Coturnix japonica: one gene and its partner. The protein of the gene in region 1 interacts with the protein of each later gene in a biochemical or structural test. Links are inferred from orthologs where the notes say so. Each region holds a gene or a part of one and is shown in the gene's direction. Other genes may lie near its edges.

Evidence for each region. The genes of interacting proteins can lie anywhere in the genome.
Region 2: the proteins of FOS (region 1) and RUNX2 form a complex in vitro, tested with the Homo sapiens proteins (2 studies listed by BioGRID). The link is inferred for Coturnix japonica from reciprocal best matches to the Homo sapiens genes FOS and RUNX2.

What each region holds. Positions count from the first base shown.
Region 1 is NC_029520.1:34,667,232-34,671,339, forward strand, and holds FOS (proto-oncogene c-Fos), read left to right. Parts: upstream 1-1,293; 5' UTR 1,294-1,454; coding exon 1,455-1,595; intron 1,596-2,026; coding exon 2,027-2,275; intron 2,276-2,392; coding exon 2,393-2,500; intron 2,501-2,611; coding exon 2,612-3,217; 3' UTR 3,218-3,978; downstream 3,979-4,108. UniProt on the Homo sapiens protein: Nuclear phosphoprotein which forms a tight but non-covalently linked complex with the JUN/AP-1 transcription factor. In the heterodimer, FOS and JUN/AP-1 basic regions each seems to interact with symmetrical DNA half sites.
Region 2 is NC_029518.1:99,729,605-99,733,119, forward strand, and holds part of RUNX2 (runt-related transcription factor 2), read left to right. Parts: exon of another isoform or gene 1-197; coding exon 198-354; exon of another isoform or gene 355-1,025; intron 1,026-1,276; exon of another isoform or gene 1,277-1,579; intron 1,580-1,890; exon of another isoform or gene 1,891-2,270; intron 2,271-3,048; exon of another isoform or gene 3,049-3,338; intron 3,339-3,515. UniProt on the Homo sapiens protein: Transcription factor involved in osteoblastic differentiation and skeletal morphogenesis. Essential for the maturation of osteoblasts and both intramembranous and endochondral ossification.

The sequences.
Region 1 (4,108 bases):
GGCTCTCCGAGCTGCGGCCAGAGCGAGGGGCGGGGGGTCCGGGCCGGTCCCATGGAGGGAGCAGCCCTGGCAGGCCCGGAGCCGGTGAGAGCAGCGCCGGCCCATGGGCCCCTCGGCCGGGAACGGCGGAGCCGTGCGCTGCGGCAGTCCTTGGCTGTCCCCTCGGCGCTGACGGGCAGCGCAGAAATAGCAGCTGGCCCAGTTCTCCCGCCCCCGTGGCCCAGATCTCTAAGAACGGAGGTTGTTCGCGCGGCAACAGCGGCAGCGGCATCAGGAGCCGCATTTAGACTGTGAGCTCAAAGAGCGGGAGAGGCTGCCAGCAGGATCCCAGCCTGCACGGGTGACGCTCCTGCTTGGAGACTGCGCTGCGGGCTCTGTTTGTTGCTGTAAACACGCTGCCGCTGCAGCTTCCCTGTTACTATCTATAGCCGCGATCTCTTGGCTCCCGTGCGAGGCGAGGCTGCGGTCTGGCCGCCGGCTCTGCCTGCCCCGAGCCAGGGCTGCCGACATCCCCGCCGTGGGTGGGTGTCTCCGGGCTTCGCCGCGACGGGGATCAAAACAAAACCCAAACTGGAGGAAAGGACGGGCCTCGCCCTCGCCGCTCCCCCCGCGCCCCCCGCCCGTGCCCCCGTCCCGACGCCCGGGGGGCTTCCCCGAGAGCTGCCCTGCCCCGGGCCGCCCCGCACTCCTTCCCGGCCCTCCGTGTGCGTGACCCCGCCGGGGGGACGCGTCCCCGCCGCGCTGAGCACCCTCCCGCCGCGGGGCAAAGGGGACGAAGGGCGCCGCGCCCCTCCGCACCCCACGCGTGTCCGCGGCCGGCTCCCATAGCACGAAGCCCCGCCGGGCCGCTCGGGGCGGGGGCTGCCGGCCGCGGGGGAGCGCCGCGAGGGGGGGTCGGGGCGGCCCCGTCCCACCGCGTCCCGTCCCGTCCCGCGCCGCACTTGGCCGCAGCCTGGAGCGCTTCCCGTCAGTCACGCCCCCTCGCACAGGATGTATCCCATATAAGGATATCTGCGTCAGTGGGTTCCCGAGACCGGCCGTACCACTCCGCGAGGGGGGGGTTATCCCGGAGCGGCTCCTCCCGCCCGTCCCGCCGCGCTCCCCTCGCCCCGCCGCGCCTCCTCCGCCCCGCGGTGCCGTCGTTCCCCGCACTTGGAGGCGGAGCGGGGCGGGCGGCGGGGCCGGGAGAGCGGGGCGAGGCGGACGCGGGCAGAGCGGCCCCCCCCGCGAGCGGGCGTGGTGCGTCCCGCGTGACGTGTGCGATTCACGCGGAGCAGGATATAAAGGGTTGGCGCCGAGCGATACTCCAGCGGCAGAGGCAGCTCCGGCAGCGGAGACAGAGACGCGCGGCGCGGAGCGGATACAGGGACGCAGCCGGCCCCTCTTTGCGTTCTGCCGCGAGGCGCTCCGCTATAGCACCGCAAGGCCCCCGCACGGCCACGCAAACAGCCGACATGATGTACCAGGGCTTCGCCGGGGAGTACGAGGCGCCCTCCTCCCGCTGCAGCAGCGCTTCCCCGGCCGGGGACAGCCTCACCTACTACCCGTCCCCGGCGGACTCCTTTTCCAGCATGGGTTCCCCCGTCAACTCGCAGGTGAGGGGCCGTTGCGCGGCCGCCGCGGGGCTGGGCTCTGGGGGTGCTGGGGGGAGATGGGTGCGGGGGGCGCGCCTCGGGCCGGGTCGGGGCGATGCGGGACCCGAGGGGGGCGGGTGGCTTCAACCGGGCCGGGGACAGAGTGGGGAGCGGCCGCGACGCCGCCGCGGGGCGGGCGGGGGGAGCCGGGGTCCGGGCTGCGCGTTGCGGCGGGTGTGTAAAGCGGCTTCATTGATAAAACGCGAGTTCATTGAGGAGACTCCGGAGCGGCGCCTGCGTCAGCGCGGACGTCAGAGATATTTATATCGGGCCGCTCTCGTGCGGAGCGGCGCTGGCGGCGCGGCCCCGGGGGCGGCGGGGAGCGGCTCGGAGGGGAGTGTCGGCCGCAGCCCCCCGCTCACCGAACCCCCCCCCCACTTTATGTCCCGCAGGATTTCTGCACCGACCTGGCCGTGTCCAGCGCCAACTTTGTACCCACCGTGACGGCCATCTCCACCAGTCCCGACCTGCAGTGGCTGGTGCAGCCCACCCTCATCTCCTCGGTCGCCCCCTCCCAGAACCGCGGGCACCCCTACGGCGTGCCGCCGCCCGCTCCCCCCGCCGCCTATTCCCGCCCCGCCGTGCTGAAGGCGCCGGGCGGCCGCGGGCAAAGCATCGGACGAAGGGGCAAAGTCGAGCAGGTGAGCGGGGCTAAGGGGAAGAGGAGGGGGGTGGAAATGGGGGGCCGGGAGAGGGGCCGGGGCGCGGGGAAAGGCGGGGGGTCTGACGGACGCGCTGACCGCCCTCTGTGTCCGCAGCTGTCCCCGGAGGAGGAGGAAAAGAGGAGGATCCGCCGGGAGAGGAACAAGATGGCAGCGGCCAAGTGCCGCAACCGGCGGCGGGAGCTGACCGACACGCTGCAGGCGGTGAGTGCCGCCCCGGGATCCCGGGGGCTGCGGGGCGGGGACGGGACCCCGCGGGTGGGGGCGGGCGGGTGAGGTTGGCTCCGGCTGACGGCCCGATCTGTGCTTCCGCAGGAGACCGACCAGCTGGAGGAGGAGAAGTCCGCTCTGCAGGCGGAGATCGCCAACCTGCTGAAGGAGAAGGAGAAGCTGGAGTTCATCCTGGCGGCGCACCGGCCCGCCTGCAAGATGCCCGAGGAGCTGCGCTTCTCCGAGGAGCTGGCGGCCGCCACCGCGCTGGACCTGGGCGCACCCAGCCCCGCCGCGGCCGAGGAGACCTTCGCCCTGCCGCTAATGACCGAGGCGCCGCCGGCCGTGCCGCCCAAGGAGCCCAGCGGCAGCGGGCTGGAGCTGAAGGCCGAGCCCTTCGACGAGCTGCTTTTCTCCACGGGGCCGCGGGAGGCCTCCCGCTCCGTGCCTGACATGGACCTGCCCGGAGCCTCCTCCTTCTACGCGTCGGACTGGGAGCCGCTGGGCGCCGGGAGCAGCGGGGAGCTGGAGCCCCTCTGCACCCCCGTGGTGACCTGCACCCCGTGCCCCAGCACCTACACCTCCACCTTCGTCTTCACCTACCCCGAGGCGGACGCCTTCCCCAGCTGTGCTGCCGCACACCGGAAGGGCAGCAGCAGCAACGAGCCGTCGTCTGACTCCCTCAGCTCCCCGACCCTGCTGGCCTTGTGAGGGGCTCGCCCCGCACTGACTGACCTGCCGGGCCCCCTCCCCTGCCCACGCACCCCCACGGACTCACCACGCCCCCCGGGCCTGGGGAGGGCACTGCCGCCGCCACCCCCACCCCATCCATCTGAGGCCCGGGGCCTGATGGAGTGCCTGGGCCCATACCTCCTCCAGAGATGTAGCAAACCGCATGGAGTTTGTCTTGTCCCCAACGGCCCATCTGTGAGAGCTGGTAGTCTGTAGCATGTCCCACATGGCTGGGTTGGTGACTCCCCCCCTCCTTAGTATCACTAGCATTAACTAATTAATCCCTTGGTTTTAAATGATTGGAATTAACCTGGTGCTGGGTATCTCCGACTTGTATCTAGTGCAGCTGATTAACAATAACTACTGTGTTCCTGGCAATATCGTGTTCTTAGCAACGACCCATCTTATGTGGGGGGGGAAAGAGACTCTATTTTATTTTCTAGTAGGTAGATGAATAGCTATATCCATGTACTGTAGTTCTACATCGATGTTCATTGTAACTTTACTGATCATGCGTTGTTGAGGTGGTCTGAATGTTCTGACATAAGTTTTCCATGAAAACGTTTTTATTGTGTTTTTAATTTATTTATTAAGATGGATTCTCAGATATTTATATTTTTATTTTATTTTTTTCTACCTTGAGGTCTTTTTTGACATGTGGAAAGTGAATTTGGATGAAACTTAAGCATTGTTTGCTTATTATTGTTCAGAGACATTGTCAATAAAAGCATTTAAGTTGAGTGCTGGTGCTGTCCTCACTTTACCTTTTGCGCTACTCCCTCTGACCCCAGTGGGGCTCCCTGAACTCTACTTGGGGTTGGGCTTTACCGAAATCTGACTGCCGTAAGCGTAGGGTGCGTTGGGGTGGGA
Region 2 (3,515 bases), on another chromosome or scaffold:
AAGACGTTTCCAGCAGGACTTATGATAAAATGTAAAACATTTGTGTCAGGAGATGGACTGAATTAATAGTAGGAGAAGCCAGAGCTGCTGTTCTCCCACCTTGGAATTGGAGCAGAGGCTCAGTGCTGTGAAGGTATGCACTGCAAGGAAGTGCAGAGCCTTGTCACAAGCTGTGCTTTCTTGTCCCCTTCTCACAGGTGGTGGCCTTAGGAGAAGTGCCTGATGGGACCGTGGTCACCGTGATGGCTGGGAATGACGAGAACTACTCTGCAGAGCTCCGAAACGCTTCGGCTGTGATGAAGAACCAGGTGGCCAGATTCAATGACCTGCGATTTGTGGGCAGGAGTGGCAGAGGTAGGTGGCTGCTTTGTGTGCATGCACAGCAGGCTGAAGGGAAGGCCTGAGCATCAGCCTCGTTTCACAAGGAAACGTGTGTTGATAAATTGTTGCCTGCCTTTCACACATGCCAGTTTTATTTGCAAACTTGCCAGCCCAGCGAGGTGTTCTCCCTTGCAAAGCTTTCCTGCCACGTCTTTGTTCATTTTTGGAACGCCGGTTTTGAGAAATGATTCACAGAATACCTTGGTTCCCCATTTTAATCACGCAGCAGAGGAGGAAGGAAACGAGGATATTCGTGATGGTTTTCTTATGGTCAGGCAGTGCATCTCAGGCCGCTGTAAGAAGAGATGAAGGATTCCTTTCAGCAGTAGCGCTTCTGTTGGAGCTGTTGCAGGAGAGCTAGAATTAAAGGAGCGTTGCACATCACATGTGTTTTAAGTTATGGTCTTTGAAAGCTCACAGCTATTGGTAGAAAGCCTTCTGGTGCTTCCCTGCCCTTTGTGTGTGACCTGCAGACAGAAACCTCGCTGTTCTTGTTAGTAACCTGCCTGACGTATATGAATTGATGGTAAGCTTTGGATGGAACGAAATTCAGTCTTTAAATGTCAGGGAGGGCAGCTTCCAATTTTTTTGGGAGATTTAGAGTGCTGTCATTGTCTTCCAGCTGTTCAGGAGGATCCTGTGACCTGGGAATCACAGAATCATAGAATTACTCAGGTTGGAAATGACCTCAAAGATCATCAAGTCCAACCGCAGCCTAGCCATAGTACCCTAACTCTAACAACCCTCTGCTAAATCATATCTCTGAGCACTGCATCCAAACGGCTCTTAAACACATCCAGGGACAGCCACTCAACCACCTCCCTGGGGAGCCTATTCCAGTACTTAACTACCCTTTCTGTAAAGAAGTGTTTCCTAACATCCAACCTAAACTTACCTTGACTCAGCTTGAGGCCATTTCCTCTCATCCTGTCACCAGTGAGAAGAGACCAGCTCCGCTCTCACTGTAAGCGTACTTAGAAAGCCTTTGTCACCATTGAGAGCACGAAAATAATGTAAGATTCTTGCAGCTGCCTTTAAAATTCAAGGTAGTGATTGAAATGACCACTTGAGGGAAGCTGGCACTTCAGTCTTAGTGCAGGAATGCTCAGAGGGATCTGTTGTATCAATCAGCCATCGATTCAGCCTCAGTGTTTATGCGTTGTGTACTTGCAGTAATTATTTCTGTTTTAAACTGGCCCTGCGTGGAGGGAAAGGAAGAAATAAAAGCTGAACTGTGTGTGTGGAGAATCAGTAATAAAGCTAATGTACGGTCACACACTTTAACGGCAGCTGTACATCTTAGGGCTATTTCTCCCCCCAAAATGCTCACCAAACGTAGGATGGAGGCTGCGATAGTTTCAGTCAGACTGCATGCTTTTACAATTACGGCTGTTTTGTGAAAGTGATTCCATCAGTGTGGCTCACAGCAGCTATTTTTTATATTAGTGACTTGGCCAACAGCTCTCTTTATCATTTTACATCTTGAAAATTATTGGTAATAAAGGATACCTTGAAAACAGAATAACTCCTGCAGAAGCGATGCAGTATAAATATGGCCTTCGCTGCCCTTTGGGATGCAGTGCTGCCTTCCTCTTCCATTTGTCTTGCTTCCTTTGGAAAAACCAGCCTGCTCTGTTACTGTGCTGCTGGGTGAGGTCTGAAGGTTCCCTGGCTCGGTCGCTAGCAGTGCTTTACCATAGGAGTTCAATGTGTGACTGCTCCAGCAGTACCAAAAGGATCCGAGATGTGCCGTTTCATTTGAAATGTATGATAAAAGCTTTTTTGTTAGCCCATAGGAAACCAACCAGAGGGCCTGGGACACTTCGGTAGGTGTAGATGTGGGCACATAGGAACACAAAACCTCTGAATTTGGGCACCGGTCGTTCAACCTGGAATAGAGTTTTTTCTCTGATCGGTCTGGGTAGAATCTATGGAAAAGCGATAGTGTACTTTTCAAGCCCTCAACATATTTATTTAAGAGACTTCAAAGCAAAACAAAGGGTGTGCACTGTTTTACTATATTGGCTTTCTGAGTTTTGGCTGGTTTCCCAAATAGCAATTTTTATATTTTAAAAAAAAAAAAAAAAAAGGAAAAAAAAAAGGAAGAAAAAAGACAGACTTAACTGCTTGCAGACTTTTCACGCATGGAAGATGAAGAAAGCTTCTTTTGATGAAGTGTAATTATGTCCAAACAGAGCTGACCCCCTCCCCCTATATTTCTTATGATCTTAACGGAAGAAAGTAGGGCTTTGCCTTTGAAGCAGCCGGGACTCGGTGGAGGATCTGAAATGCTGCATTCTGCTGCCAGAGGCGGGATGGAGAAATTGGTCCAGACTTGTCTCCCAGACTTAGAACAGAGAAGGGGGAGAGAGAGAGGAAAGGAGGAAGAGTTATCATTACTGATAGATTTTTATAACTCTCCTTAAAATAGCAGGAAAGAAAGCAGTAGTTGCAAACAGAAGTGAGAAAGCTACTTACAGAGGCACATAGCAGTAGGTGCGGGTCTTGAAGTAGAACAGGAAAAATAAAGTAAGAAAGAAATCATTTCTCGGTGGCAAGAAACTAATCCACACCTGTTCCTGCCTTCAGATTTACATCTTTCTAAACAGCTCGCTCTTTGATCTCTGTATCTCTCAGTTTGATTGTGAAGGTGAATCATCAGCTTACCGCTTTGCCTTCTCTCCCACATTTTTTCCATGCTTCCCATGGCTCAGTGCAGTAACTGGATTCATATCCATGGTTGTGCTGCTCGCCTGACAGGAGCCCTGACTTCACGTTTTTGTTCGCATAATTCCTCTTAAATATCTTTCTGGACTCATAAGAATAAGTAACCAGAGCTCTTTATAATCGCGCAGAAGTTGGTTGTCTGTGGTTTAGACGCAGGAGATCACTTTTACAAGGCTGAGCCGCAGTGCAAAAAGAGAATTCCATTCCTTTGTGAGCACAGAATCATAGCATCACAGAACAGCCTAGGTTGCAAGGGCCCACAGTGCTCATCCAGCTCCAACCCCCTGCTGTGTGCAGGGTCACCAACCAGCAGCCCAGGCTGCCCAGAGCCACATCCAGCCTGGCCTTGAATGCCTGCAGGGATGGGGCATCCACAGCCTCCTTGGGCAACCTGTTCTGGTCACCTT